2 linked regions of the Sus scrofa genome follow. The protein of the gene in region 1 purifies or fractionates together with the protein of each later gene. This does not show direct contact. Links are inferred from orthologs where the notes say so. Each region holds a gene or a part of one and is shown in the gene's direction. Other genes may lie near its edges. The genes, in order: NGFR and NDN.

The links.
Region 2: the proteins of NGFR (region 1) and NDN purify together in Homo sapiens (affinity purification with western blotting; 3 studies listed by BioGRID). This does not show direct contact. The link is inferred for Sus scrofa from reciprocal best matches to the Homo sapiens genes NGFR and NDN.

What each region holds. Positions count from the first base shown.
Region 1 is NC_010454.4:25,700,104-25,716,735, forward strand, and holds part of NGFR (tumor necrosis factor receptor superfamily member 16), read left to right. Parts: intron 1-7,130; coding exon 7,131-7,272; intron 7,273-10,383; coding exon 10,384-10,743; intron 10,744-14,926; coding exon 14,927-15,179; intron 15,180-16,632. UniProt on the Homo sapiens protein: Low affinity receptor which can bind to NGF, BDNF, NTF3, and NTF4. Forms a heterodimeric receptor with SORCS2 that binds the precursor forms of NGF, BDNF and NTF3 with high affinity, and has much lower affinity for mature NGF and BDNF.
Region 2 is NC_010443.5:142,403,571-142,419,663, forward strand, and holds NDN (necdin), read left to right. Parts: upstream 1-9,117; coding exon 9,118-10,095; downstream 10,096-16,093. UniProt on the Homo sapiens protein: Growth suppressor that facilitates the entry of the cell into cell cycle arrest.

The sequences.
Region 1 (16,632 bases):
AGGGGATGGAACAATGGGAGAGGAGGTTGCAGGGACTGGAGGCAAAGGGGACTGGGCATCGGACAATGAGGACCAGCCAGACAATGGGGGGGAGGGGCGTGGGAGGGAGACGTTCGTGGAGCGGGGCTCTGTTGAAGAAAGAGAAATGGTTAAGAGAGGGCAGAAAAGGGATGGCGGTGAGGGAGGTAGAGAGATGGAAGCAAAACGAGAGGACGGAGAAGGGAGAACGGACCCTAAGGTGGTCGGGGCCCCGCCTGCCCGCGGAGGGACAGTGGGACGAGAAGAGAGGGCAGAGGCACAGACACTTCCCGCGCCTGTCGCGCGCTCTTTCTCCCGGCCTCGCGAGGTCAGGCAATTGCGGCTTGGGGTCCGAAGCTAGGAAGGGAGTGCCCACTTCGCCGGGGCGAACCCGCTCTCCGGGTTCTCCGGCGACCGGCGGGCTCCTCCTCCGCATTTATTCTCGCAGTTTGAAGCAGAGCGGAGGACAGGATGGGACAGAGCTAGGCGTCGTCCGACGGGTTCTGGTCGCCGCCACTTCTTGGGGTGCAGAGAGGCGGGACGCGCAAGGCGGGGAAGGTCGGGGTAGCGCGCAGGCGAAGGCGGCCCGCAGGGGGCGCTGTGGCGCGAGGGCTGAGCCGTCGCAGCTACCCGCGCGACTGTGGCTAAGCGCCGCACCGCCACCCCGACCTCCAGTTAAGTTAAGCAGCCCGAGCGTCGCGCTGGTGGTTCGCTCTGTTTCCGCGCCCCGCCCAGCCTTGGGTGAAAGACACCGGGCAAGGAACAAAACGGGGGTGCTTGTACGCCTGGGATTCTGTCCCGGAAAAGGACCGTGGGTCCTCGTGAGCGTCAAAGTCCGCCCGGAAGTTCTGCCGAGACATTCAGGAGATGTGACCTGGTGTGTGGCCATGAACCGAGTGCCCTGAGAGGTTTGGCAATGGAGGAGGTGTCCTCACTCTCCCTGCCATCTTCATCTCTCATCGGAGCCTCGCATCTCCAAATCCCAGCTTTACAGACAGAGGCTCTGAGAGTTGAAGCCAATTGCTCAAGATCCCACAAGCAAGTAGAGCCAGAATTCTTAGCTAGCCTGCCCCTCACCTGATTCCCAGCCCGGTACTCCCCGTACCTCTTAAAAGGGGCTGCCCGGCGTCCCAGCTTGGGTTAAGAGCTGCGTGGCTCGGCGGCGGCGGGTCGGCGTGACAGAGTCCGGCCGACGGAATATTGGGGGCTGGGATGGGCAGAGAGCCTCTCCGGGTGCTGGCCCTATCCTCGAAGCTCAGCCCCAGTTCTCTGGGATGCTAGTACCTGTGGCTTCGTCCGGGCATGTGGGAGTGACTGCGGGCACGTTTGCTGACTAACGTCACGGGTTAAAGATGCTTCTCAGCCGGGGAGGAAGGGAGCGGGAAGGGGGGTGGGGGGGACTGTAGTGCGGATCCCGGAGAGGCGAGGGCGTGGGCTCCGGATCTGGGCTGGAGGGTGTCCGCCGAGGAGGGAAAAGGCGAGACAGGAGGGGAGCTGCGCGTGGAGGGCCTGGGGGCTCGGAAAGGTGGACCCCGCTCGGAATCTGCCGCCTGCAGCCCCTGGGACTCTCGCCTCCGCCTTGCCGCGGGGCTGCTGTCTCGGGGCTGGCTCTGTGCACCGCAGCGGTCCGAGTTTCTTCCTGGGCCGCGGCGAGAGAGTGCTGAAACCAGAGCGCGTCCCGGCGGGTCGGCTGGCGAGCCGCGCCGGTAATGGAGGCACTTTGTCATTCAGACGTCTGTAACCGGAGCCGCTGGACTGGCTAATGCGCATAATAGGGATGCAGCGACGGCAGCAAATGCGAGCACGCGAGCGGGGCCGGGTGGGGGAGGCGCCTCGGAAGGGAAGGTGTTCCCACGCCGCTGTACCAGCCAGGTCCCGTGCACGCGCCTAGATTCTTCCCTGGGGGTGCGGGGCGGGGAGGCGGGAATAATAAAATTGATTGAGTGCCTACTGCGTGCCATGCATGGCCCTGAGTAATTTCTCTTATGTTATTTAATCCTTATAAGGTCCCAGCCGAGTCAATCTAGTTATTCCCATTTACAGCTGAGAGAGCTGAACCTCCCGGACCTTCAGACGCGAAATCAGGCTCTCCCAGTTTAGTAGATGGTGGCGCCCTTGTTGGAACCTAGGGTGCCTGGCTTGGAGTTTACTCTGTCCTCCTTATGCCAGGCACCGGCCCCTCCCCCAACCTTCCAGATCACGGAAGGACACGTGGCCTTGAATTACACATTAGATCGTGTCCGGTGCTCTTGGCACCACAAAGTTATAGCTGAGCCCCTCTCTCCCAGCCCGCCCCCTTTCAAATTATTACTGCAACATCCTCCTCAGTAATTCGCTCTTGTCTTTGACCCCAAACTCCACCCCTGTCTAAAGGGTTGAGGGGGCATGTGCCTCCCCAGGGTTTGCATTGGTCTCAAAGACCCTTCCCATGTTTGAAAACTCTCCAACCCCGTGACAGTGGCCAATGGCTCCATTCACTTAAGGAACCCTTTGCTGAAGCTGCTGTGAATGCTTAGGACTCACCACACTGAAGCCTGCCTGTAGTTTCAGATTCTTTCAACTATTTCGGCGTATTCTCTATTGGGTCCAGTTTTGAAAAATTAAATCTTAAAAGTCCATTCACGTAAGGGTGTTTCCACCTTAATTTCTTGAAAGCCTGGAAATGGCAAAAAGAACAAAAAAAAAAAAAAGGAAAAGATTTGCAAACATTCTCAAAAATGGAACGAAATCATTCCATCAGACATGGAAATGAGTAAGTGTAATAAATGTAAATTTCAAGCAAATGTGTCTGTCATTTTGGCAAATCCATCGTTTGGAGCCATTAGCCTGAATCCTCGCCATCCCTCCCTCCTTCCCAAGATTGCTGGGCCTTGAACCCAGAGGGAGTGTGGCCGGGTGGTGCATCAGGCCGGTGAGCAGCATGACCTCTGTGGGCCTCAGTTTCCACCTCTGTCCCATGACGGCAATCCCTCAAGTCTTTCCTCCTCAGCTTCTGGAGCAACTCTTTGGGGTGATATTTTCTCTCCATCGTGGGACCATAACTCCTTCCAGGAGTCAGGGACCATGTCTTAAGAGACACTCTTAGTTCCTTTTTTTAAAAAAGTATTTTATTTATTTATTTATGTCTTTTTGCCTCTTCCAGGGCCACTCCCGTGGCACATGGAGGTTCCCAGGCTAGGGGTCTAATTGGAGCTGTAGCCACTGGCTTACGCCAGAGCCACAGCAACGCAGGATCTGAGCCACATCTGCAACCTACACCACAGCTCATGGCAATGCCGGATCCTTAACCCACTGAACAAGGGCAGGGATGGAACCCGCAACCTCATGGTTCCTATTCGGATTCATTAAGCACTGCGCCTCGACGGGAACTCCAAGTATTTTAAAATGATAGTTGATTTACAATGTTCTGCCAATTTCTACTGTACAGCAAAGTGACTCAGTCATTGGAAACTCAGTCCAATGCTTAGGAAATAGCTGCTGACTTAATTAACTTTGAACAGAGCAGGTCCCCATCCTCCTTTGGTCCCCATCCTCCTTCAGACTCTTCTTGGTGGGTGTCTGTCTTCACTCCTATCTTGCCCCCTGCTCTGAGATGGTTTTCCCTCTTTGGGGATGGCTAAACTCTCCCCTCCCTGGAGTTCCCATTGTGGCGCAGTGGTTAACGAATCCAACTAGGAACCATGAGGTTGTGGGTTCGATCCCTGGCCTTGCTCAGGGCATTAAGGATCCGGCGTTGCCGTGAGCTGTGGTGTAGTTGCAGATGCAGCTCGGATCCGATTAGACCCCTAGCCCGGGAACTTCCGTATGCTGCGGGAGCAGCTCAAGAAAAGGCAAAAAGACAAAAAATAAAAAAATAAAAATAAAAACCTCTCCCTTCCTGCTACCTACTCTCTTCCCCCCACCCCACCCCCATCCCCTGCCCAGGCTTAGCAGTTCAGCTTGTCCTTAAGACAAGACACTTCTTTAATTAGTAACATTTAAAGTTTCCATCCTGGCGCAGAGGAAATGAATCTGACTAGGAACCATGAGGTTGTAGGTTTGATCCCTGGCCTCGCTCAGTGGGTTAAGGATCCGGCATTGCCGTGAGCTGTGGTATAGGTCGCAGATGCGGCTCGGATCTGGTGTGGCTGTGGCGTAGGCCAGCATCTGTAGCTCCGATTGGACCCCTAGTCTGGGAACCTCCATATGCTGAGGGTGCAGCCCTCTAAAAAACAAATAAATAAATAAATGTAACATTTATTAAACTCTTACTGTGCACCAGACAGATTTGCATAAATTACATTTACTTTTCACAGCCACCCTGGGCAGTAGATATCACCAACCCAGTGTTTTAGTTGGGAAAACTGAGGCTTAACAGAGATAGAGAATTTACCCAAAGCAACATGCTTATTCAGTAGCAGATCTGGAATGTTTTGAACTAGAACACAAAACAAGCACAGGAAACACATGGTTACTAATTATGTAGCCTTGACTCCAAATGAAAGACTTGGGAGAAGAGAGAGGACCACCAGTGGGCTTTGACAGGAGGGCGGGGCACGGGGCTGCCACTCCGCCCACTGCCACGACAGACCCTTCCACTATCCCGGGCCCAGGTCTCTACTGACCCCAATTAACGGGAACTCAGCCCAAAGCCAAAAGAATGCCAGAAAGACCTTGCAAAAGAGAAAGGAGGGGTCTCAAAGTAAATACACAGCTTACTCATTTACATAATGCTTACAGCCACCTTCTGAGGCAGGTCCTGTCATAATTACCTAATGAGGAAGAAACTGAGGCGCAGAGAAATTCCAAACCCGTCCCAGGTCACCTCACTCTAAGCCATGAGCAAGGATTCAGCGCAATGATGAAGGCAGGAGAACTCACACTTTTTACTCTGAGAAGGGCCCCCCCTTTTGGTTCAGATCCTGCTTTCATTCCCTTTATACATCTTCCCACCAGGGCTAGTTACGTACTTTCTAAAGATTCAATTAGACCTAATACATTAGAATGGGGGAGGGGCTGCTCCGGTCACACTGGGAGCAGCGAGAGTTGACAACTGATACCTTGACAGGAAAGGAGGAGACAGAAAAATGGTAAGAAAAGCTGACAGGAGAACTCCAAGAGACAAAAGTGTGGTCATTTGTGATAAAGAACATAGGGCATCACTGCATCGCCGCCCAGAAAAATCGCTCGTGTAACTATTGAGCCCCTGAGTCATAGGGAAACGGTGAAAGTGTGTTTCAGAGACAGAGGAAGGGGAAGCGCCCATAGTTAAAAGTGAAAACCATTAGATGAGAAGAGCAGCAAATCCTTGACCTTCCAGAATCTCAGCTCTCTACGGAGAGAGTTGGTCCCTGGAGTTCTCATTAATCGAGGCCATATTGTCTCACTGTCTTAAATTCCAGAAATATACACGTTGGGTCCCTAATATGTGCCAGGTTCTGTCTCAGGCACTGAGGCCAGCACAGTCCCTGCTCTCAGGGAGCTGACAGTCCCATGGGGGTGTCTGCAGAGACTCAGACCAGACAGGAAGACCGAACAGGGAGGACAAGGGACAAGGTGGCTCCGCCTGATCCAGGAAGGCTTGGGACCACGGGACCACTTCCCTGATGAAGTGACATTTAAGCAGAGTCCTGAAGGATGAAAAGAAATCTGAACAGACCCTTCTGGAATCTGGAGTCTTGCTCACCTCCTGGGGGAAACCTCGTGTCGGGGACTACACCCCCCCACCCCACCCCCACCGGGCTTCTGGTCTGCAGATGTTCCCAGCACCCCGTCCCTGCCACCTGGGAGAAGACGGTGGCAGCACCCACGGTTCCCCTCCTAGGCTGCCTGCACCCTCCCCATTGGGCTCTTGAGAACTAGTGGCTGCCTCCTCAACTGATCCAACCTGGCCATCCCCCTACCTCCATCAAACCCTGCTGAGACCTCAGGATATTTGAAAGGACTGGAGGGAAAGACATGTTTTGGGCCAACATGGAAGCAGCAGGGGAATGTCCCAAATGACCTGGACAGCGCCCCTCTAGTCCCATGATCCAAAAGCCCCTGTTTCCTCTGAGCATCAAATGAGGGCTGCATGGTCTGGAGCCAGGGAAACAGGCTTTGGAATTTTATTAGATATTAAGTTTTTTTTTTTTTTTTTTTTTTTTAAAGGAACAGAAATACAAAGCAAGCTGGCAGCAGCCCCTCCCTCTAGGGAATCTGGTGCTAAATCATTCCATCCATGAGCAAAGATGCTTCAGCGGCAGGAATCTGACTCCCCTCTCCCCTGTTTCCAATGCAGGTCCCACTGGCTGCCTGGGGGGCAGGGAGAGGGGCGGGCTGGTGGCTGGAAATCAGACCCTGGTGGAGCAGGGCTGCTGGATGGTGAGAGCTGCCACTTTCTCATCATTGATAACAGGCAGCCTTTTCTCCCGTCTTGGCGCCAGACTCTTGATGATTGGCTGCTCTTTTGCTTTGGCCCTAAGGTGACTCCCTCTCTCTCTCTCTCTCTCTCTGTCCAGAGAGATGCAGAATCAGAGAGGGAAAGCAGGGCAGGTCAGAACTCTCAGAGCAGAGCCAAAATTTGAACCCAAGGTCCCACCTCTGTTCTTGGGTACAGACCCCTCCCATTTCATACTTAATATGTGGAATGGTAGAATTAAGGACCCGGAGCCCGGCTGCCCTTTGTTAGAAAAAGACTCCTCTTTGGGTACACGCATCCTTGCAGGTGTGCAGCTTAGCAGGTGGCATTTGGGCTAGATTTCAGTTTCTAGTCACCTCCTTGGCTGGGAGTCCTATGCAAGCTGCAACCTGCCTGCCGCTTCAGCTGCTCCAAGTCTCTCTGCTGGACCTCAGGTTGCCTTCCCCCCATGATGTATCCTTGGGATTCTAGGAGCTGCTGTAACCCCAAGATGAACTTTGCAGAAAGTCAGCATCCAAGGCTCTGACCTCACACTCCCAGCAGCCTGCAGGGGTGCACTGTCCCCCGTGGCCTTTCTTCCCCACCAGCTTTCAAGTGCCAAATGCCTCCCTGGTGAGCTCATCCGGGCCCAGGTGGTTCCAATAGAAGGCTTTAGAAGGGGATGTTTGCTCCGTCGGAATCCACCCCTCCTCCATCTCTTGCCAGTCTGATCTTCTGACCTTCCCCCACTCAGGTGTCCCTTGGAGGTGCCAAGGAGACCTGTCCCACAGGCATGTACACTCACAGCGGCGAGTGCTGCAAAGCCTGCAACCTGGGTGAAGGCGTGGCCCAGCCTTGCGGAGCCAACCAGACCGTGTGTGAGCCCTGCCTGGACAGTGAGTATAGATGACCAGCGTGGGGAAGGGGGTGGAGGGCACACTCCGAGTCCTGGCAGGGACTCCTGCCCATCACTGCTTGGGCACCAGGAGTGAGTCTGCCGCAGGATAGGAGGCAGAGAGGGGAAGCTCCGAATGGATGAAAGAAGCATGCAGAGGGAGGAGGGGGACCTGAGGGGGGAATCCCTGGGGTGGGGGGGCGCCCCTTCCAGAGACCCCTAGCAGAGAAGCCTTGTAGAAGAGTGTTCTGGCCAGGTGGGAGGAGTAGCTGATGCTAAGACCAGCTAAAAATATCCGCTGCACTGCAAAATCAATGGCTGCCACTTACCCTCCGCGTGTTTGTGGGGAGGGGAGGAAGATCAAATCCTGGCTGTCCTGGAGACTGACCTTGGGGGATCCTGGGAGGGTGTGGCTACACCTCCCCCCAGGCCAACTGTTCTCCAGCCCTGACCGAGGAAGCAGAGCTTTCCCCATCAGCGGGGATGGAGGCTGGCGCCCTACAAGGATGTCTTTACAGGGGGGTTGAGGTCAGGATGGGGGAGGGGCGCTGTGGCCATTCCTATCTGGGATTTCCTTGGGAAGAGGAGTCTTCCAGCGCTGCTGGATGAGGGAGGCAGAAAGATGGCAGGTCTGCCTGGAAACGTCTCCTCACTGTTGATTGTCAGATCCTGCCTTCTAACTGGCTACTCAATGCCCATCTGCAGGACCAGTGGGAATTCTACTCAGACTGTTCTTTAATCATGCTGGGAACAAGGTTACAGGAACTGGGGACTCTGAACACACCCACCAGCCTGTCTTTAACCTTTGGAGCCAGCCCACCACCAACATCGCAAGGCACACACGCTCTCTCTTCTTCAGGCAACCCCAACTCCTTGATGTCCCGACCATACAGTTTTCCTATTTCTGTGCTTGTGGATCCTATAACTCATCCCCCAGCAGAGGGATGCCTGGGGCCAGGTGAGGAGGCTGGTCATCCTGCAATGCCTTTGCTACCTTGCCCTCTGGCCACCACTGCTGGCTCTGGCCATGCAGAGTTTCCATCCCAGTGCAGGGCTGGCCAACCATCAGCTGCCCTGCGACCTCTGGTATTTGCCTCTCTCAGTTCCTACCCCAGGACCGCCTCTCCTTGGGTCCTAAGTCGCCTAGGATGGGACCGCAAACCTTTCTGTCTGAAGTAAGGGGTGGGATAGAAGAGGCTGAGAGAGGGAAGGGGAGGGAAGACAGGACCAGAGACCAGCTCGGAATTTTCCCTCCCGTTTCCTCCCTCTGCCCCCCTTCTTCCCCATCCCCCGCCCCAGCTGTGTTAACGAGCTGCCTTTACAAGCCCACTTTATGAGACCGAGACCCCAGTGGACTTTCCCTCTATCCTCAAAACGTTTCCACAAGGAAACCCATTAAGCTCCTGCCTTCATTCTCTGCCAAAAAAGACCACATTTTCCCCACCTCCTAAAACTCTCTCCCCAGGAGTTGGCTGCTAATTTTCTGTATGTTCCCATGGCCAGGAAGCTCCCCTTCCCTTCCCCTGTGACTAGACCCACCCCCGTGCCACTTGCCAACCAGATAGGAGCCTCTTGTATAAACTGGACATCCTGCCTTGGCCATTTAGGTTTGGGCGTTCTTTCTGCTGTCTGACTAATAGCCCTGCTACTGAAGTTCATTGCCCACCCTGGGGAAGCCCAACCTTTACAGGACCCCTGCTGGGGGTCAAGTACTTTACAGTGGAATTTCACTTATTCCTCACCACAACAGGGAGTGAAGACTTTACTCCCCGTTTTATAGAGAAAGAAGAAAAGCTCAGAGAGGTTAAGTAAAACACCCAGAGTCACACAGCTAAATAAAGTGATGGAAGCAGGTTTTGAATCCAAGTCTGCCAGAAGCCTAGGAAGAGAAACACAGGGGTCCCTCTGCCAGAACTGATGTGACACCAAAGTCTCCCTCCAGGCCCATCTGTCTTTTCTTCCAAATCTCTTCCCCACCCCCGTCCCCCTTAAGCTACTGTCCCTTTCATTTCAAGAGAAGTGAAAAGCAGAGATGCTTTTCTCTTCTTTGCTTCTCCAGCCCCACCCTCAGCCGCCAAAATAATGACCCTGCGCTCCATCTTGGCTCTTGATGCCTTTAGAGAAGCTTAAGATTTAGGACCCCCCTGCCCCCAGCAAGCTTCAGTTTCCCTCCAGTGGGCTCCTAATATCTCTACCCCTGCTTCCGCCTTCTGGGCAGTCCTCCTACCCCAGTTGTCAGGTTCTAAACCTGTGCTCTTCCAGCCTCTTGGATTCAGTCTGGCGTCAATTTCTCCACCTTGGGCTGGAAGGGGTGACGTTCTGGCTCTGTGCCTTCCTGCCTCTTTGCACGAGGATGCAAGGACTCTGGCATCCCCAGCACATCCATGCCCTGATTCTGGAGCTCCCGCCCCTTAATTGAGCGTGAGTCAAGCATGAGCTTGAAAATATTTCCCTCGTGCCATTTGAAAGGGCGCTGGACTATATGTGCAAGTCCTTTTTCTTTCTAGCCCGGATCCCTCCTGCTGTAGCTTTCGTGCCAGGAGTCCATCCCTGCCCTCAAGAGCCAAGCCCTTCTAGCAGCCAGGAGTAGCAGCGCCGTGGGTGGGAAATTCTGTTGTCTAACCCTAGTCACTCCCATTCAGGACACACCTGCTCCCACCTGTGCCGAAAGGGATGGAAGGAGGCTCCCTGGGGAAGGCCGGCTGTGCCTGGGCTGGGTTCACAGCTCAACTCTGGCCTGCAGGGAGGGCTGGATGGGAACCATGCTCAGATTATTCCTTAATCACGCTGGGAACTCTTTAAAAGAGTTTGTCCAAAAAATGTACCAGCAGTGGCTGGGTTACCCCTGGGAAACCCCAGGGCCAGAGCTTCCGGGGTCTGGAGCTGGGGGCTCTCGGCTCCCTTCCTCCTTCCCAGGCTCCTGCCACCAGCTTTGACCCCAGGGGAGGGGGTGGGAGTCAAAATGGGGGGAGCGGGGCGAAACGAGGGGGTCAGAGCCCTGGCCCTGGCCGGGGATGGGGCAGGAAGGCTTCCAGCCTCTGCATCCTACGTGCCCCCAAGGAGAGGAAACTAAACTGGGGCGCAACTTCCCCGCGCGTCCATCTGTCCTCAGGCGTGACCTTCTCGGACGTGGTGAGCGCCACCGAGCCGTGTAAGCCGTGCACCGAGTGCGTGGGGCTGCAGAGCATGTCAGCGCCCTGCGTGGAGGCGGACGACGCCGTGTGCCGCTGCGCCTACGGCTACTACCAGGACGAGACGACCGGCCGCTGCGAGGCGTGTCGCGTGTGCGAGGCGGGCTCGGGGCTGGTGTTCTCGTGCCAGGATAAGCAGAACACCGTGTGCGAGGAGTGCCCCGACGGCACGTACTCCGACGAGGCCAACCACGTGGACCCGTGCCTGCCCTGCACGGTGTGCGAGGACACCGAGCGCCAGCTTCGCGAGTGCACGCGCTGGGCCGACGCGGAGTGCGAGGGTGAGTGTGCGCGGAGCGGACCTGGGGCAGGCAGGCTGGGTCCTGGCCGGCAGGACAGCCCTGTGGCCTCGAGCCAGCGGGCATCCTCCCAAGCCTTCCCACCAAGGGACCCCGTCCACTATTTCCGCCTTTGGGCTAAGTGGTTGGAAAGCCATGCGCCTCCTCCCAGGCCCCACTCCTTTTCCAAGGCTTTATTAATCTGTGGCTACTGACTGGGGATTGGAGGGGTGACAGTTAAGCAGCCCAGAGGTGGCCTCTGTGTGCAGAGGCACAGATAGGACATGTTTGATCCTTGAGGCCGACTCTCTGAACTGGAGGAGGGGCCCGAGGGTCCTGGGGGTTGGGCGCTTAGTGGTTTATGGTTCTGGGACCTGGGATAGAATCCACCCTGTCCCTTACTATCTGCTTGAAGTCAAGGAAGTCACTCCTGCCTCTGGACCTGTCTCCTTACTGGTCATCGGGTTTCCAGGGTTGCTGTGGGTTAGGGAAGGGGGCTGGCTCCCTTCCCCTGGTGGGAGAGGGGTCAGCAGTCACTGGTACAGTTGAGTCAAGGATGAAGTTGGACCCCGGGAACACACACTAAGTGGTTGTGGGGATAGGAGCTTGGGGACAGAGAAAGAAAGGAAGCAGCAGGCCTGGGGCTCGGGAGCCAGAGGACGAGACAGGTGCACACAGACGGCCCTTTGCCTCCCCCCACTCCCCCCACACCGGGGTGGATGGGAGCTGAGGGTGCCCACCTTCGCCAGATGGGGGCAGTTCCTGGGGTGGGAGGAGGACACCCTGTGGCAGCCAGGACAGAACTGTTTTGGTCTCTGGTTGGGGACATCCATCTTGGGGGAGAGACTGACAGGGCCTTTGCTTTCTGTCAATCACCCCATGGCTGGGCACACATTTCGCTCTTTCCCCTGGGGACCCAACCCTCAGGGTGGTGCCCTCACTCTGAGCAGGCGGCACCGAGCCTCCACCAAGGAGCCCTGAGTTGGACAGGACACAGACGGCCTTTGCCCGAGTCTGATGAGGGAGAGGCGGTCCCAGCACTTAGTTCCTGGGAGATCCTTCATTCTGGCGGAGGCTGCATTGCCCCCCTGCCCCAGTCAGCCCCGAGTCGCAAGGGAGTGATAGAAGCCTGCCCGGGGAGCCTCTAGTCTGACACACCCATGCCTTCCTTCCACATCCTGTGATCCCCCCCCTTGCACAGGGACCTCAGGGTGGAGAAGGCTATTAAGCTGGGCTGAAGCCAGGTATGTGTGAGAAGCTTCTTCCTGTATTCAGATGTGGGGTCAGGGTGGAGGAGCAGGGGCGGGGGGGAAGAGAACAAGGGGGTTCCGGTGGCAATTGCCCTGGGCCAGGAGACAGGCAAGTAGCATCAGGCACAGAGCAGAGCAGGGAGGGAGTTTCAGCAGCCTGCAGGCGGGCAGGCGGGCAGCACCGGTCTGCGGGCAAGTCCTGACCAGCTGGCAGGTGGGCAGGCAGGGGCTCAGTTAGAGCAAAGGAAGGTGGTGGCTGGGGGAGGGGGGGGGTTCTGCTTTTGGGGAGTGGGCTTTCCCAGCCACCCTGAAGGGGGGCATTTATCTCTGTTCCCCACCCCCACCCCCGGTTCTAGCCTCTGAAGGGGTCAATGTCAGCTCTAGGGCAGAGGGAACGTTTCTGGAACTGGAATTTGATTCCTGCTTTGGTTGCCCCCGCCTCTGCCCCAGTGCAGGGTACTTCCTTGCGCATTCATTTCAGGTGTCAACATGGTGACTCACCCACCCTGGGGGCAGAAACACACCCCCCTACCACCACCACCAACCAAAGAAAGTTGGGTTTAGGAAAGGTAACCTGGTCCCTCCTTCCACCCCCACGCCTGACAGCTCCCATTCCGGAAATGGCTGTCAGGACCTGCCGAGGGCTTGGTGGGTTGGAATGCTAGTGGACATGGCCACATCTGGATCTCATCCCCTGCTTCCCTCCCAAGGGGGGGCGGGGGGTATAGATTGGAGAGATGTGGGGAAAGCACCTTGGAAGGCGCTGTCTTCAGCCTGGTCCATCCTCCGCCCTCTCTCAGCTCTTTCCCACTTCTCTCCAATCTCTGTGACGCCGGATTCCCTGACGGCCCCCCCGCCCCCCACCATACCTTCAGCCTCTGGGTTCTGGCGGGTTGAGCAGAACTGTACCCTCAGCCTGGGGAGGCTCTGGCTCCGGAGCTGGCGCAGTCCCCCAGCTGGGCCAGAGAAGACCCTCGGCGGGCCAGCGCCTGGTCTGGGGCTGCCCCAAAGGAGGGCTGAGTCTCCTCCACTCCCCGCCCCACCTCTTCCACGCCCTCCCTCCCCAGACTGAGATGGCGGAGGGGTGGGGTAGGGTGGTAGAGATGGCAGCTCCCTCCCCAACGCCAGCCAGATGGATGCCAGATTCACATCTGGAGACCTTACTTCTCAGAAGGTGCTGAAAATGAGGGCCTTTGAAGCATCTTTGTCTTCAGCCAAGGAGGCCAGGGAAACCGGTGGGCAGCTTGGACTCCAACCTGGGTGGGCAAATTGGGGACTGGATGAGGCAGCGCTTGGTAGCAAAGTGCCCGCCCTTCACCCCACTGGCATGTCCTGTCTGCTCACCCTCCCTGCCCCAGGCGTGGGACGTGAAGACAGATGGGGCAGGCGGCTTTGCCCAGACAGGTCCCCCCAGGTCGTTCAGAGCCCACATCCCCGGGTGCTGCCCCCGGCTGGGTTGCAGAGTGGAAAATCCCACTCGCCTGTGCCAGGGGGGTGCTGGGTCTCCTGCCAGGGTGGCTGGCAGTGCCCAGCTGGCATGAAAGAACCTAGGTGGGTGACAGGGCAGTCTCCATCCCCTGAGGCAGTGCGGCTCTGTAGGTTCTCTCTCCCACAGTTCTTGTCCTTCTCAAGTTGGGTTTGGGCTACCTGGCACTGTCTTCTTCCGGTGGCAAGATCAGATGGTTCGGGGGCCACATGGGGCAGGAAATTGAGGGTAGCCACTATCCACGGACTGGCCAGAAGGAAGCCAGCCAACTGGACACCTCCCCACCCTGCCTGAGCCTAGAGCTAGGACACCAGAGACCGGAAGGGAGGCAGCATGCCAGCTCTTGGGGGTGGGTACAGGGGGAAGGTACCTCTCTGCCAGACCCAATTACCTTCTCCTTCTTTTTTTTTTTTTTTTTTTTTTTGCATTTTAGGGCTGTGCCCAAGACATATGGAGGTTCCCAGCCTAAGGGTCAAATCAGAGCCACAGCTGCCAGCCTACCCCACAGCCACAGCAACATGGGATCTGAGCCATGCCTGCAATCTGCACCACAGCTCATGGTAATGCCGGATTCTTAACCCACTGAGCGAGGCAAGGGATTGAACCCGAGTCCTCATGGATGCTAGCTGGGTTTGTGACTGCTAAACCACAATGGGAATTCCCACCTTCACCCCCCTTTAGGACAAGGATGACTGGGGCTGCTGGGGCAACCTGAGGCCAGAGAGATTACAACGTTCCCCAGCCTGATTCCCTGATTCCCCTGGAGGCTTCCTGGGGTCCACTCTCTTTGTGGGTTTACCTCCATGCCAGGCTTCTGGGTACCCAGGCAGAGTAGAATTCTAGGACCACAGCTATACTCGAGATGGAAGGGAGATTAAAAACCATCTCTTTTAATAGCCCCACCCTAGAGGAAGTTCCCGTGTGGCTCAGTGGTAATGAGTCTGATTAGTATCTATGAGGTTGAGGGTTCGACCCCTGGCCTTGCTCAGTGGGTTAAGAATCTGGTGTTGCCTTGAGCTGTGGTGTGGGTCATAGATGTGGCTTGGATCCTGTGTTGCTGTGGCTGTGGTGTAGGCCGGCAGCTACACCTCCGAATCAACCCCTAGCCTGGGAACCTCCATATTCCATGGGTGTGGCCCTAAAAAAAAATAGCTCTATTCTAGAGATGGGGAAATTGAGGTCCTGAGAAGTGAAGGACCTGGTCCAGAGTCACACAGCACGTCAGCGACAGAGCTGAAGGGGACCCGGGTCTCCCGATTCTCAGGGCCTTTGCTCTTCTCTGCCATCAAGACATCACACCCCCACTCCCAGCCCTCAACCCCGTGTGCAGCAGCTGGATCTGCACATACCTGGGGGCGAGACAGGGTCTGGGGAAGAAGCTAAAGGGGTGAGAACATAGGGGAGGGGCTTGAGGGGACGGGTCCTCACTCCTGTAGCCCTTTTCTCCCAGAGATCCCTGGCCGCTGGATGACACGGGCTACACCCGCCGAGGGCTCCGACAGCACAGAGCCCAGCACCCAGGAGCCTGAGGTACCTCCAGAGCAAGACTTTGTAACCAGCACGGTGTCCGATGTGGTGACCACAGTGATGGGGAGCTCCCAGCCCGTGGTGACCCGAGGCACCACCGACAACCTCATCCCTGTCTATTGCTCCATCCTGGCTGCCGTGGTCATGGGCCTGGTGGCCTACATCGCCTTCAAGAGGTGAGACGGGAAACAGGGGCCAGGGAACCAGATCTTTGCCCTCAAGGAGGGCTTTGCTGTGACCATGACCTGAAAATACACACACTCTTTCATTTTTTTTTTTCTCTTTTTTTGCTTTTTAGGGCCACACCCACGGCATACGGAAGTTCCCAGGCTAGGGGTCTAATCGGAGCTACAGCTGCCAGCCTATGCCACAGCCACAGCAATGCCAGATCCAAGCCTCATCTGCAACCTACATCACAGCTCAGGGCAATGCCGGATCCTGAACCCACTGAGCAAGGCCACGGATCGAACCCACAACCTCGTGGATACCAGTCAGATTCGATTCCGCTGTGCTACAACAGGAATGCCCTCTTTGATTTTTAAAAAATTTTTTATTTTTATTTTTATTTTTCGGCTACCTGGCGGCACATGGTGTCCCCAGGCCAGGGATCAGATCCCAGCTACAGCAACGCTGGATCCTTGAACGAACTGTGCCCCACCAGGGATCGAACCAGTGTCCTGGCGTTGCAGAGATGCCAATGATCCGTTTGCGCCAGAGCGGGAACTCCTACGCACACTCGTTTAAGTCAACCCCAAACTGAGGTCAACCTCACTCACCACCAGCTTCCCCACTTCTGAGTGCGGCAGGTCAGCTGGAGGTAGGGAAGGGGGGACCGTCCCTGTCCTGGCACCAGCACCTCCTCTCTCCCATTCTGCTCCCCTACCTGACACCCCAGCCCCCAACTCCCCACAGAGCTTTCTTCACCAACTGCTTGTGTCCTTACCCCCTGCACCCCATGTATTCCCACGGTCCTGGAAAGTTTTTTTTTTTTTTTTTTTGTCTTTTTGCCATTTCTTGGGCTGCTCCCTCGGCATGTGGAGGTTCCCAGGCTAGGGGGTCTAATCGGAGCTGTAGCCACCGGCCTACACCAGAGCCACAGCAGCGCGGGATCCAAGCCTCGTCTGCAGCTTACACCACAGCTCACGGCAACGCTGGATCCTTAACCCACTGAGCAAGGCCAGGGATCGAACCCGCAACCTCATGGTTCCTAGTCAGATTCATTAACCACTGAGCCACGACAAGAACTCCGTGGAAAACATTTAAGTGCATTTTCCATTCTTAAAAAAAAAAAAAAAAAGTCACCAAAGTAACGGTATGCTTGTTTGGGAAAACGCAAACAGGACCAACGGCTTGTAAAGCAAAAAGTATAAAGCCCCCTTTTACCTCCCCAAATCCTACCCCTCTCCTCACTGCAATCTGTTGGGAATGGATCCCTTCCAGCCATTTTCTGTGCGTTTCTAAAAAAACGTGTGTAAAACCTTTTATAGGTATATGTACACACGCAGGGTTTTTTTTTTTTTTTTCTTTTGATTTTTTTAAAGCTGCAGTGGGATCACACTATACATATTCCACGGCTTATTTTTTTCTCTTAATCTCCCTTGGGGGAGCTTTCCTCTGAACGTGTAGATT
Region 2 (16,093 bases), on another chromosome or scaffold:
TATCACAGGATGTGGGATAATTAAAAATGTGTCTGTTCTTTGTCCTAGGTTCCTGATTCAGAATTTTTAAAACCTTTGTAATTCTCTGAGTGGCACTAGTGTCCTCACCATGGTAACATGTTAATGGGGTGCCTTATGGTGGGCTAATGAATAACTTTATAGCAGGGGCTGGTTACCAGAAAAGTCAATCCCATGACTAGAAGGCTGGGGCTTTCAGTTTCCAGACCATGAGGCAGGAGAGAGTGGCTGGAAACTGCGTTCAATCACATAGCCACTTGACAAACACTCATGCCTATGTAATGAAACCCCGGTAAAAACTCTGGAACTGAAGCTCAGTAGTGAACACATGAGTGTCCTGAGAGGATAAGACACTCTGACTCCCCCTGGGAAGAGGGCATGGAAAAATCTGTGCTGGGAAACCTCCTAGACCTCTCCGTATGTATATCCTATATAATAAAACCATCATCTTTAATATATAATTTTTATTGAGTTCCATGAGTCATTCTAGTGAATTGTGGAGTCTGAAAGGGTCATGGGAACTGCCAAATTTATAGCTAGTTGGTCAGAAGTGTGGGTAGTCTGGGGACCCCTAAAGAGCAACTAGCATCAAAGTAAGGACACTCTGGTTCAGGACCAGGCCCTTTCACTTCTGGGCTCTGCACTAAGTTACTTCCTGAATTGAACTATAGTACATGAAGTTGGGATTGAAAAGATATAGGTGATATCATAAGCTTAAAGCAAAATGGTGATCCTTTATCCCTTTCATTGATCCATTGATGGAAAGAAGGACATCCTAATAAAATTTATTTTACATGATGTTGTATTATTATGTAATTATAAAAATTAATCCCTGGCAATCAATGCGAGAGGGAAGAAGCAGCCATTCTCACAACTAAGGACTCGGAGGCAGTGAGGATGATGTGGTCCCATTTTTATGAAAATAAGAGCCTTTTTTATTGCAGAAGTTATGTAAGATCCTAACTTATAGGGGAATTAATGGCATTTTAGGCTATTTTCCATGGGATTCCCAAAGAGAGCCAACTAAATCTAATGATACTGAGACAGCTATTCCACCCATTTTGAGACCAGCTTACTGAGGGTCAATATGATTATACTGTACCAGACACCGAGGAGTTAGGAGAAATACTAACAGTTTACATCTAACAGCCATTACCTGTTCACTGTCTCTGAACATGAAAGAACCCATATGTTTCCTGGTAAAACCCCAGAGTACTCTGAAATTTTGAAATCATATTTTTATTCACCCCTCCCAAAGGCTCACCTTTTGGAAAGAAAACATTTTGCTAGGATTCTTTCTTCTATTGATTGCTTCCAAGCATCATGGTTGTGTCTCTCCTTCGCAAACTAATGAAATACCTAGAAGGAATATCAATTTTCTTAACAGATGACCAGCCCCTGTGGTAGCCTGGAAAATAGCCTCCCCAAAAATATTCACGTCCTAATCTTTGGGACATGTGAATGCCAGTGTCCTTGCATATTAAGCTAAAGATCTAGAGATGAGATCATACTAGATTTACATTGATCTCTCAAACTAATGACTAATGTCTTTAAAGAAGACAGGAGAGGGAATTCCAGTTGTGGCTCATCAGGTTAAGAACCTGACTAGTATCCATGAATCTGTGGGTTTGATCCTTGGCCTTGCCCAGTGGGTTATGTATCTGATGTTGCCACAAGCTAGAGTGTAGGTTGCAGATGTAACTTGGATCTGGCATTGCTGTGCTGTGGCCAGCAGTTGCAGCTCCTATTCAACCTATGGCCTGGGAACTTCCATATGCCACATGTGTGGCTCTAAAAAGAAGACAGGAGAATAAGCAATGAGATCCTACTGTATAGCACTGGGAACTATATCCAGTATCTTAGGATAGACCATGATGGATGCATGATTATATGAAACATGAATATATTTGAAGTATATGAAAAGGAGTATATATGAAAAGGATATATATATATATATAGATAGATAGATAGATAGATAGATAGATATAGATATAGATATAGATATGACTGGGTCAATTTTCTGTATGGTAGAAATTGGCATAACCTTGTAAACAAACTATCCTTTAATAAAAAAAAATGTGTAAAAAAATTAAGATTAAAAAAAATAAAAAAGACAGGAGAAAGGATCAAAGACTCATGTGGAAGTCATCCATGTGAGGACCCAGCTAAAGGTGTAAGTAGAGATCGGAGTTACTCTACACAAACCAAGGAATGCCAGGAGCCACCAGAAGCTGGGAGAAGTGAGGAAGGATTCTCCCCTGAAGCTTCAATGGGATTTTGGCCATGGCAATATCTTTATTTCATATTTCTGCTCTCAGAACCAAGAGGGGGTAAACTTGTGTTGTTTTACACAACACAGTTTGAAGTCATTTGTTACAGCAGTCCTAGGAGATGGATACTGGGGAAATTTTAATTTCAGAAGATGTACTGATTTCTATGAGGATGATAAACTGTAGGTAAATAAATAAACAAGTGAAAAGATGCAGTAGAAGTAGACTATGGCAATCCAGGTGAGTAAGACCAGTGGATAACTGCAGTGACCTATTGCAAGGGTCGTAGTAGCATTTGGGAGATGAGAATTGTGGGATTAACTGGATGTGAGGATAATCAATGACATTCTCATTTCTTTCTGGGAAACTAGGGGGACCGTCATGATATGTACTGGGAGGGAAGGTACAATACAGGCAACACAAAGATTGAGAGAGGCTGCTGACCAAGTGCAGTAGATTGTTGAATTTAAAATTCAAAGTTAAAATATTAAGATGCTCATTAGGCAGTTGAATATCCAGTTACAGACCACAGAAGAGACATCTAGGGTAAAGAATTAAGCCTGGGATTCATCAGTGTATAGATACTACTTTCCATGTCTAGGAGATGGTGCTTACCAGGGAGAACATAGGGTGAGAACATAAGAGGACATAAGGCAGGACTATGAGAACCCTCGACTTTTAGGGGACATTCAAGTTGTCAGCTGCCCCAAGAGTTACATGTGGAGGACTGTGTATATGGAGAATTGAGGACTCTCTGGAAGAGTATCTATGTCCTGGGTGGGGTGTGGGCCTATGTTCCCGGTATAGGTGAAGAAGCCAAGTGCAGGCTTAGTAGATAAATTGATCATTAAAAGGATAATAGGATATACAAATACCAGTACAGACATAAAATTGACAACTTATAGGAAATACACCAACTCCTTAAAAAAACCACAAATCACCAAAATTCACCCAGCATGAAAAAGATAATCTGATAGGTCTACAACCAACTGAAAAAAAAAAAAAAACTGAATTGGTAGCTACAAACTATCTGCAAAAGAAATTTCTAGGTACTGATGGTTCCACTGAAAAAATTCTACCAAATATCTTAAAAAGAAATAACAAACAATTCTGTACATTTCCTTCAATGAAGTGGAAGAGTGGGGAACATATTCCAAGTCACTTTAGGAGGCTCTAATGTCCTGATATCAAAACCAGATAAAGGCAGAGTTCCCATTGTGACTCAGTAGGTTAAGAAAACGGCATAGTGTCTGATGATGCGGGTTTGATCCCTGGCTTCACTCAGTGGGCTAGGGATCCTGCATTATTGCAAGCTGCAGTGTGGGTCACAGATGTGGCTCGGATCCAGGATTGCCATGGCTGTGGAGTAGGCATGCAGTTGTAGCTCCAATTCGACCCCTATCCAGGAACTTCGATGAAAAGAAAAAAAAATAATAAAGGCAATGCAAAAAGAGTCAGACCAATATCCCCGAGGAACCCACACATAAGAATCTTCAACAAAATATCATAGGATCAATTCAGCCATGTGTAAAAAGAACTATACACCACAGTACCCAGGGTCTGCTTGAACAGCATTTATCTTCAAGAAGATGTTGAAGACAATGTAATTTATTTTAACATGTCCCAGAAACAGGTCCAGTGAGGAAAGTCATATGATCTTCTGGAAAGAGGCTGATGTGACCTGACCCTCTTGGTCAGTTCTGCCTTTCCTCACTCCTATTTGCAATTTTCAGTGGTTATCAACTAGGGGCTAGACTGCCCATAGAAGGGCTTTTGGCAGGGCAGTGGGAAGGTGTCATCTTTTTCTTTTTGTACACTTTTCTATTTTTCCCATGCCTGGAAGGGATTCATATGTGTGTTGACAGGGACAGAGGTGTTCAGATGTCAGTGCCTGTGTGGTGCATTATAGTCTCACACAGTGAAAATCTCGCTCCTTTTAAAGAACCCTGCTCTAGACACTCTCTCATGGTGATGCTATTGACTGTGTTTATCTCTCAAACTTCTATTGTTGGCCCAGGCCGCTTTCCTGAGGCTTACATATCCAGATACCTGCTAGACATGTCCACGCTCCCTTCTCAGATCCTTCTCTAGGAATAATCTCAGGAAGTGGTGCCCCCCTATCCAAACTCCACAACACTGCTCAATCCCAACTGACCAGATTTGGTGCTCCCTGATGTCCACAGTCTCCCTTCCTTTTTCTTGTTATTTACATCCCTGCTAAACATCGGTTCTTCTGTTCTATTCTTGGCAACCACATTGTGGCTTCATCCAAGATATGTATGGCAACGTAGTGCATAATGATTATTTAATTACTCACTTGTTTGTTTGCTTATGGCTCCTTTTCTCCACCATTTCTCCTCACTTTGAGGGCAGAGACCACAACTCTCCTCATTTTTTTCTCCAGGCATAATGCTGAAGATGTAGCATTTAAAGGAAGAGATAGTATGAGAAAAATACTCATATATATATATATGTATACTCATATATATATATAAATACTCATATATATATATGAGTTTGAGACTAGGTCACTATTCTGTACAGCAGAAATTGGCACAATGCTGTAAATCTACTACACTATAATAAAAAATATTTTTAAAAGTTGGCTAATGAAGGTGAAATGCAAGCAATCATCCAATTTAAGTGGATTCCTGTGAAAAGTCTCCTCATTGGTCTCTCTGCCTTTCCTTGACTACCTGCCTCCAACTCCAGACTTAACTCTGATTCCAGTTGACTTTTCTCAAAGACACTCTTGACACTATTATCCTTGAGCACTGGCATAGCTGTACTGTGGGAGTCTGAACAGATCTGGAAGGGTTCCCATTTCAGGAATTTCCTTGGACCTCAGTGGACAGGCATGCACATTGTCCCACTAGGGAGAATGGAGGGGATAAGGGGCCAGGGTTGAGTCCCCTCCTTCACCTCCCCAATTGCAGACAGCAGAACTGCCTGTCCTCACTTCTTACTCTCTTCTAACAAAAAGGGGCCAGCCTGCCAAACTGTCCCAATATGATAGGTTTCCCCCTCAGACTGAGTTACTTTTCTAAAATGCAAATCTTTCAGGTACGTGATAGACATTGCTCAATATTTGCTGAACCCATGAATGTGAGTTCTCTGTCTCAATTCCTTGGCCTGAAAGGCATTTGGGGCCCCTCTGGGGGCTCCAAGGTGGAGGTTGCTGCCTATGTGGACAGGAAAGAGCCAGAAGGATTCACATTTCATTTGGGGCCTCTGGGCTTCTGCACTGTGAGCATGCGCACCGTCCACTGGAGGCCCCGGGGGGACCCCCCCCTCCTCTGTTCACTATGGAAACCAGTGCCAGGACAGGCCTCTCCTCCTATCCCTGAGTCTGCCAAGAACAGCCTATTCCACAGCTGTGTAATCTGTTCCACATTTCAGAGTTTGAAGTAACCCACCAGCAAAATTGTCTGCACCAGAATATTTTAGGTTATAACTTCTCCATATACTTACTGCATCCACAGAACTTCTCTTTACAGAATCTTGATTGAAAGCATAGCCCTTCTGAGTTTCCTTTTTTTTGGGGGGGGGATACTGTGTAACCTTCAGTCTTTTGCGTTTAAGCTGCTGGTCTTGAGAGGACTCATCACCCACACTCAATAAGGCCAATTCTGGAGATGCCCTGTGAGCCTAATTTAGACCCTGTGCTGGCAGGACATCACTGCAGCTCCAGACCCAAATCTTGACCATTGAATCAAAGAGGTTGTGGATAACTCTTGAGTACTGACAATTTCCATCTGCCCTTTTGTCTTATTGTTCTTAAGGTCTGCATCTCTACTTTATGGGGAGGCACCTTATTAGGAGCTACTATCAAGCTATCAAGCTATTGACTTCTCCCATGGCACATGTGCAGGTGCACTTTCTCTACTTAAAGGTTACCTCAAGCTTTACTTTTTTTTTTCCACCCACCCCCCTCCCTCCGTGGATTTACTTCTTGGTGGGAAATAAATGGAGCCTCTTCAACAGAACTTTTCCTGGAAGAAAATGATATCATGCTAGCAGGTGGACAATGGGGCTAGAAGAGTGAACAGCACAAGCGGTCTACCTTGTACTTGGATTCAAATTCAACATCTGTTCCAATGCTTTAAAACCTCGGTATGATCCCTCACAGTGGTCCCAGACCGCAGGCTCTGGTATAGTATTAAACAATCTTCTTGTCAGGAGAGAGGTGTGGAGTGAGCTGTTGTAGGACCAGTCCAGCTCAGGTAGCAACTGGAACACACTGAAATTCTCTGGCCAGAGCTCTGCTGTTTCTGCAGCAGTTGCTCTTATAATATTAAAATTGGTGTGCTTTTACAATTGTTTTTATAATTGCCTTCACACTTTTTTATACATAAGTGTTCATTTCTGTGCTCAAGCTTGTGATTTAATTTCATGAATCCATTAAATCTAGGAGGGTGAAATAGGAGGATGTAATTGTAATAACCTCACAATGGCACGAATTATGGCCGATGGCCAAAGCTGAGCTGAGATTTGAATAATAGGCTCAGACATTTTCATTTTAAAAAATACCTTAAATGAACGAAATCATTATCCCAGTTAGAAAGGAATAAATACCCAAGTGAAATAAAAAGAAGAAAATTAGTGGAAATAAAAGGCAAGAAATGAGGATGATTTTTAAGAAGAAAGAAGTAATTGAAAGATTTGAACCATTCTTATTAATAAAAAATCTTATATAACTGACACAACCATGCAAGATATATTTTAAAAATAGAAATCTATAAATTAAAGAAGAAGAAATGATGAACAGGAAAAAATCCAGCTGAGACATATCTGATCTGTAGGAATTATCCTTGTCAAGCGAGAGGTTAAGAAGTGCTATTGGAGGGACTGGTGTGAGAATGGTCCTGCTCAAAGTGATACAAGTATGAAAAATAAAGATAGAAAAATAGTATGGAAAAGAAAAAAAAAAGAGTGAGAAATGAAAAAGAAGATACAAGAAAAAAAAAAGAGAGGATTGTAGAAATGTAAAGTCAATATTGTAAACACACCTTGGGTTTCAAGTGACAATAACCAGACTCAAGAGGGCACATTTAAGAAGCTGTTAGCTTGGAGTTCCTGCTATGGTACAGTGGGTTAATGATTCGACTTGTTTCTGTGGATGTGTTGGTTCAATCCCATCCCGGCAGGGTGTAGTGGGTTAAGAATTCAGTGTTGCTGAAGCCATGGTATAGGTTGTAGCTCCTGGACAGATTTGATTCCTGGCCCAGAAACTTCCCTATGCCAAGGGGACAGCCAAAAAAGGGGAAAAAAAAAAAAAAAAAAAAAACAAGACGCTGTTGGCTTGAGGAAATTCAGTAAGGTCTGAAATACCATATTGGCTCAGACCAGGGATGCTGATCAGCCTGAGAAACCTTGGATCCATAGGTTCCTACACCCATCCTTCTCTGGGAGTGTCAGCTTTGTTTTTGCCCACTGCATATCCATGTTCTAAAAGTGAAAAACAACCACCAGTACATTGCATCTCATATTGTTGGTCACCTGAGACTGTCTGCCATATACAATCTAGGGAACTTGTGTTAATTAACTAATTGGTTAGTTAGACAAATAAAAAAGTCTTAGGAGGGATTTGGGTGTGGCTGTCAATTTCTGGAACCAGTCAGTTTGTGTGAAAGCGCAGAGGTGGGGTCTACACGAACACACCCGTGAAGGCTACATCAGTCATAAGGGGAATTAGGGTCCTTCCTGGACAAACAAGTAGAAAGACATCATACTAGTCTGTGCTAATAAATACAGCAATCTTTGTGTGATGAGATCCTAATCAAAAAATTAAAATTACATCAAAATTACCCAAGGGAAGTAGAAAAACCAAAATCAATGACCATTCAAGCACCTAACAGTATCATTAGTACATTGTCTTCAAGAAAGTTTCAGTTGTACATGTATTGACTACATTCTGCATTTTTCCTTCATAACCCCCTGGACTTGGCAGTCAGGAAATCTTTTTTTTTTTTTTTTTTTTTTTTTTTTTTTCCCCATAGCAGGCTACGGGTAGAATTGGAGCTACGGCTGCCAGCTGACACTACAGCCACAGCAACACTGGATCCAAGCCCTGTCTGCAACCTACACCATAGTTCATGTCAACATCAGATCCTTAACCTACTGAGCAAGGGCAGGATTGAACCTGCATCCTCATGGATACTAGTCAGATTCCTTTCCGCTGTATCACAATGGGAACTCGCAGTGAATCAATCAATTTTTATTGCTATCTTTCATGATTCTGATATCCCGCATCTTTTTCAGAGTTGACACATTTTCTTGGGTGACCCTGATTGTTCTGTCAGTTTAAATTCTCACACTTGTTATCCAAAACCCAAGCTTATGTGCCAACCTGGGCCTTTCTCTGAAACTCACATCTAACTTGATTCTACATATACCCAATTGAACATTTCCTAAGAAATTCAGCTTCAGCATCTTGGAAGCTTAAGTTTCCATCTTTCCTCTTAAACTTGCTCCTTGTCCAGTGCTCACCCATGTCGCTCCTCCCCCCGGCCCCAGGACCGCCTCCTTAGCCCAAACTGGACGACTGTGGGTCATGAGGCCAGTATTCCACTAGGCCCCCTACCCCTTTGGGACCTCAATACACCCCAGCCCTCCAGGCGCCCCGCCCCTACCGCCAGCCGGCAGGGCCCCCACAGACCACGGATGCGCAGGCGCACTAGCCTGTCCCGCCGCCGCCCCGCCCCGCCCGGCCGCTGCGGAAGGCGCCGCGCGCAGCAACGCGCACTTCCTCTCCAGGAGTCCACCGAGGGAGCGCAGAGTCGAAGAGCTCCTGGACGCAGCGGCCGAGCCCTTGCCAGACGGAGCAAACATGTCCGAACAAAGTAAGGACGTGTGTGACCCCAACTTTGCAGCCGATGCCTCCCACTCCGAGGTGCACAGCAGCCCTGGGGTGGCCGGGGGGCCCTCTCCGCCTGCGTCCCAGGCCGCGACCCTCGCAGGGCCAGAGATCCCTCCTGTAGGCCCACCCGACGCCCCTCTGGCCTCGCCGCCGCCCCAGGCCCTGAGCGAAGAGGGAGACCCAAAGGCTCTACAGCAGGCCGCGGAGGAAGGCCGCGCCCACCAGGCCCGGAGCACAGCCCAGCCCAGCCCAGCGCCGCCGGCCCCGGCCCAGCTGGTGCAGAAGGCACATGAGCTCATGTGGTACGTGCTGGTCAAGGACCAGAAAAGGATGATCATCTGGTTCCCAGACATGGTGAAAGATGTCATCGGCAGTTACAAGAAGTGGTGCAGAAGCATCCTGAGGCGCACCAGCCTCATCCTCGCCCGAGTGTTCGGGCTGCACCTGAGGCTGACCAGCCTGCACACCATGGAGTTCTCGCTGGTCAAAGCTCTGGCGCCTGAGGAGCTGGACAGGGTTGCTCTGAGCAACCGCATGCCTATGACAGGCCTCCTGCTGATGATCCTGAGCCTCATCTACGTAAAGGGTCGCGGTGCCCGTGAGAGTGCTGTGTGGAACGTGCTGCGCATCCTGGGGCTGAGGCCCTGGAAGAAGCACTCCACCTTTGGAGATGTGAGAAAGCTTATCACTGAGGAGTTCGTACAGCAGAACTACCTGAAGTACCAGCGCGTCCCCCACGTCGAGCCCCCTGAGTATGAGTTCTTCTGGGGCTCCCGTGCCAGCCGTGAAATCACCAAGATGCAAATCATGGAGTTCCTGGCCAGGGTCTTTAAGAAAGACCCCCAGGCCTGGCCTTCCCGCTACAGGGAAGCTCTGGAAGAGGCCAGAGCCCTGCGGGAGGCCAACCCCACTGCCCACTGCCCCCGCAACAGTGTCTCCGAGGACTAGCAAGGTCTGGAGGCAGATTGATGGTTTCTGACCCTCACCAGGGTGGTGGAGGGGTGGGGGTGGGACATTAGAGTATTCAGGATTTACAGTGCAGTATTTCACGTGTAACTTTTACGTTTTCAGTACAGTGCTTTTATACCTTTTAATGCAATGTTGTATTCATTTCAGTAATAATTAGGTAGTGTGTAGGATTCATGCATGTTTGTTTATAAGTAAGCTCAGTTGGTGCTTTCGCTTTTGTGCTACCTTTCTTGAATTTTTTGTACCAGAGACGTGCTAAACTTATGAAATACATTGAGACATTTTCCATCTTATTCTTTTACATGGGACTGATGATGTGTATGGGGGTAGACAGGTACTAGAGAGTTTGGACGAACTCACCAGTAAAGCTGGTCTAACCAAGAGAAAAGTCAAGACCTCTCTCTCTGTGATCTTGCTGGGCACAGGAAACATCTGTCTGGAGTGTGGTGATGTGGACTTAAAGGGGCTCAGTATGGACACTTGGCACAGTTTACTAAACACAAAAACAACCCCACCATGAGTAAACTTTAAACATTAAAGATTCTTGTGATACAGTCATTTTTATGGAAAAGTGTACTTTTATCTTTTTAACAAAGTAGTATGGGTTGGGAATGAGATATTTTACACAATGTACAGATATATTTCATCTCATAGGGTGGGGAAATCGTGACTCATATGTGTGAGGTGTATAGTTTTTTTTTTTGCAAAATGTAACTCACATGTTCATTTCAAAAATTTGACAAAGAGAAAAGTATGAAAAACAGAAAAGTTCATAGTCACATCACATAGAAATAGTAACTGTTCATATTTAGTTTCTTGCATTTTCTACATTTTATTAAAATTAATAGCTGTCTTTTGTGGGTAGAGTGAGGCATTGTACTAAACTTTTTACATGCATTTTTCTCTTTTAATTTAATCCTCACAACAGCCTTATGAGGCAAGCTCTTATTACATCTGCACCATGGAGGAAATACAGGAACAAAGCAGGTAATTAAATTTCCCTGGATCATAAAGGTTTAGTGATAGAAGGGGCTATGATTTGGACCCAGGCTGAATGAGTCCAGAGCCTGCCTACAACTGACCACCTACCTCCTGCCTTTTAGTTTATGCCTTTTAGAAATTTCATGTTCGAGTCTGTACTTTTAGGTCCCTGCCCCTAGCACAAACACACACATGCACATACACACACAAGGCTATCAACTTTATTTTGTAATGAGCCATCACATTAATCTTGTTGAGAAAGCAGTCATATTCTAATTAAGAAACTTCATTTCAGAGAGATTAATTGAGCCGGCTAAGTTATGTTCCTGCTTAGCTGTGAAGCCAAGATTTGAAACTTGGTCTTCTCGGAAGGACCAGAATGAAGGAGTCTTCCCAGACCAGTGGTACTGGAGGAACATGCGTGGGAAACCTGGGAGAGGACGGTGGGGTTGAGATGAGAAGGTGGCAACCCAGCAGCTCTGGCATTGCACTGGGCCACTAAGCAACCCCTCAGAGGATGGGATGGGATGGGGGAGGAGCAGTGCCTGGGGATAAATCTCATATTAAAGTTCTCAGTCCTGCAAGGGGGAGGGAGAGAAAATGGCCTTTAATACGACCAGAAATCCTTCAAACTTCAGAAGATTGAAAAAGAGGATGTGGCCAAAGAAAGACCCTTATCTGGAGAAGATGGAAAATGAGGGGAACACATAGTTCACGATACCCCAGAAGAAGCAACCTGAGAGTTATGTTGGGTGAGGGGATTATAATCTGAATTGAGAACTAGGATTCCCAGCATTTAATGACATTACTTAATAAGTGAGTGCGGGTGCTAAAAAAGCTGAAGAAGCCTCAGATGTGCAGAGATGAAATCCCTCCCTTTCAGAAGACATCCTGTGGGGTCTCTCATGAAGGGTAGGGGGTATTTCTACAGTGACTCAGGCAAAGATGCCCTGGCTTGGATGCCATCTCTCACCCTGAGCCAAGATGAATTCAGACATTACAGAACTGTTAAAAAAAAATTCCTTCTCACCTCAAAATTTCCTGCAGAATCAAAACAAATCTGCCCCATTAAATATAAAATTAGGAATTCCCTGGTGGCCTAATGGTTAAGGATTGGCATTGTTACTGCTGTGGCTTGGGTTGGATCCCTGGCCTACAAAATTCCACATGTCATGGGTGTGGCCAAAAAAATTTATATATATATATATATATATGTAAAATTACAGGGCTCTCTGAGTTGTCTCATTTCTGGAGCAGGACCAGACACAGCTCTCACCCCTTCCAAGGTAGGCTGATGGACACTTTCTCTAAGGCCCTAATGCTCCTTGCAGCAATCATAACTTCTGTACACTTCTTTCATCAAACCCAGAAGTCACCAGGTAGGCAGTCCCCTCACCTCCCCAAGTTTGTATTTATGTTCCTCTCTGCCAGAGAAACCAGGAGAACCACTCCAAAGCTGCCTTAAGCTCCCTGACACAGGAATATCAACCATGCCACAGAAAACCTAATCTTGAGAGGACAGGATAGTAAGAAGTGAAGAGCTGACCCCAGCAAGTTATGTGGGCAGGGCCGCTGAGCTCTGGCTTGGACACAGCCAGACGCAGAGGAGGAGGCTTCCCAAATATGGAACAGAGTTAATTCATGACACCCAGGACAGCTTGTTAATTCATGACTTTAATTTGTGACATGCTGGACAGCACCTTGGGGCACAGGGAAGAGTCAGTATCTCTCTTAGACTTTCATGATGGGCTCAATTGAAAGGTTAGAAGGTTGGTCAAATATTTTTTAAAAGGTTAATCTACAAGGTGCTGGGGGTGGTCATTCAGGGAGGGGTCTCCAGACCCTCGATGTTTCGGCTGAGATCACAGCATGGTGAAGCCTGGACTGCTGAGGCTGGGAAAGAGTTCCTAATCCCCATGACATATGACATTTTATCAGTCTATCTTGCCAACTAGAAATTCACTTCTTTACAAACACCCACACGTGTATTTCACTGTAATTAACTTCATTTAATTAAAGTTATGGAGAGCAAAAAGGATCTTTGTAAACTTAGTATAAAATATAATGCCACCTCATATATTCTGAGGGGAAAATTAATTACTTCTGTAGTATCATTAGTAAATAGGAAAGGCATATTTTAAATGAACTTCTAATGCAGTTATTTCCTCCGCTTGAAAAGTCATCTTTGAAGAGATAAATTTGGGGGTTGGGGTTGACATATGCACACTGCTGTATATTAAATAGATAGGTAACAAGAACCTACTCTGTAGCACATGGTAACCCACTCAATACTGTGTAATAAGCTATATGGGAAAAGAATCTGAAAAGGAACAGCTATGTGTATATGTGTAACTGATTCATTATGCTATTCACCTGAAACTAACACAATTTTCTAAGTCAAATCTACTCCAGTAAAGTTACTTAAAAAAAAAAACAGAAAAACTAAATAATAACTAATAATACAGATTTTCAAAAAAGAAAAGAAGGAGTTCCCATCATGGCTCAGCGGAAACAAATCCAACTAGGAACCAAAAGGTTGGGGGTTCCATCCCTGGCCTCACTCAGTGAGTTTTGGATCTCGCATTGCCGTGAGCTGTGGTGTAGGTCACAGACTGGGCTCGGATCTGGCATTGCTGTGGCTCTGGTGTAGGCCAGCAGCTATAGCTAGCTCGGATTAGACCCCTAGCCTGGGAACTTCCGTATGCTGTAGTTGCCACCCTAAAAAGACAAAAGACAAAGAAAAGAAAATAATATCTGGCCCCCTCCACTTGAATTTCATCTGACCAACACATGAACACCTCTTGTGTTGGAATATGCTATCTGGTCTTCAAAGCACAGTTGTGTGTGGTAAGACAACATTGTAAAGAAACTACTATTCAGCAAAAAATAAAAATAAAGCACCGTTGTATTTTCCTACTATTCCCTCCAGTGGCATCCTAAAGTGTTCACTCAGCATACACATGTTTTTAATAAATGAGTTAAGTTTGTCTTTCTCTTCCTGGGTTGCTAGATAAAGGAAAAACCTGTACCTGTCATTTTCACTATTTTCTTGATGCCTAACTTAGAGAGTAGCATATGTATGTGGTTGATAAGTACTGGTTATGTGAGTTAAGAAACTAAAAATATTATAATAGACTTGCCCTGGAGTTCCCTGGTGGCTTATCAGTTAAGGGCTCAGCATTGTAACTGATATAGCATGAGTTCAATCTCTGGCCTGGGAATTTAGGCATCGTGTGGGTGCAGACAAATAAAAATAAATAAATAAATAAATAACCTATTCTACCACATAGCAAAAACAAAACCAAGCATAACTAATAATGATCAACCACTCTAAAGTACTGGAGGTGCAGTACTTTTCCCTCATGGCTCAGAGGATTAAGGATCCAGAATTGTCACTGCAGTGGCTCAGGTTGTCACTGTGGCACAGTTTTAATCCCTGGCCTGGGAACTTGCAAATGCCTCAGTTTTGGCCAAAAGAAAAAGTAGAGGACCAGATGAAATTAATGAAATTTAAATGTACAGAAAAATAAAAAAAGAAAAATAATATCAATAGGTTTTTATTATTTATTGAAGTTTAATTGACATTTAAATTGTATTGGTTTTAGGTGTGCAGAATAATTACTTGATATATGGATATACAGTGAAATGAATACCAGAATAAATTTAGTCAACATCCGTCATCACACACCATTAACAACATTTTTCTTATGGTGAGAACTTTTAAGATCTACTCTCTTTGCAATTTTCAAAAATACAATATAGTTTTGTTAAGTGTAGTCATCATGCTGTACATTACATACCCAGGACTGATGTATATCAACTGGAAATTTGTACCTTTTGACCACCCTAACCTATCTCGCTCATCATCCAACCCCTAACTTGGCTACTACTAGTCTGTTGTCTGTATCTGTGAGTTCTATTAGTTTGCTTATTTGTTTTAGATTCCACTAAGAAGTGACATCATATAGTATTTGTCTTTCCATGTCTGACTTATTTCACTTAGCATCATGCCCTCAACTTTTATCTATGCTGTCACAAATGTCAGGATTTCCATTTTTATGGCTGACTAATATTCCATAGTATATATAACCACATTTTCTTTATCCGTTTTTTGGCTGTGGATGTTTGGATTATTTCCATGTCTTGGCTATTGTAAAATAATGGCACAATTAACATGGGGTTATAGATATCTATTTGAGATAGTAATTGATTTTCTTTCAGATAAATGCCCCAAAGTGGAAATGTTGGATCATATAGCAGTTCCACTTTTAATTTTTTGAGCAACCTCCGTACTGTTTTCCACAGTGGCTGAATCAATTCACATTCCCACCAATAGTGCACAATGGTTCCTTTTTCTCTACATCCTCCCCAAGTCTTAGTATTTCATGTATTTTTGATGACAGCCATTTGATTCTAACAGGTGTAAATTTTGTTTGTTTGTTTTTAAGGAGAAAGGGGAAATAATATTTTCTTACAAGGTAAAGAAGCCAAGGACACACCAGGTCCATGCCCTAAATTTGACAAAAATAGCAAGTGAAAAAAAAGGAAAAAAAATCAAACCACAGATTATTGTCAAGATACTTTATGTGTGCTAACTGATCAAATATGTGATAAAGCCAATATCCTGCATAACTTGACTTTCTAATACCCTGCTAGAGCTATATGAATAACTACTATTGACCTTTGAACAACTAACTGGAGGAGGGTACATTAGGGCATTAGGGATACTGACCCAGCCACTGTCTGTCAGAGATAAATTTATAATTTACCTCTTATACATTCCCCAGTTTTCCATCCACACATTTAACCAAACGCAGACCCATCTATTGAAAAAACTTCTGCCTATAAGTGGATTCATGCAGTTCAAATCTCTGTTGTTCAAGTCAACTGTACCTGCTTTCTTATTTTATGTAGTAACTTGTAATGTGTATTGAGCACCTATATGTTGCATTTGCAGTGTTAGGAATTAGGGATGCAATCGTGACAGACTAGGCAT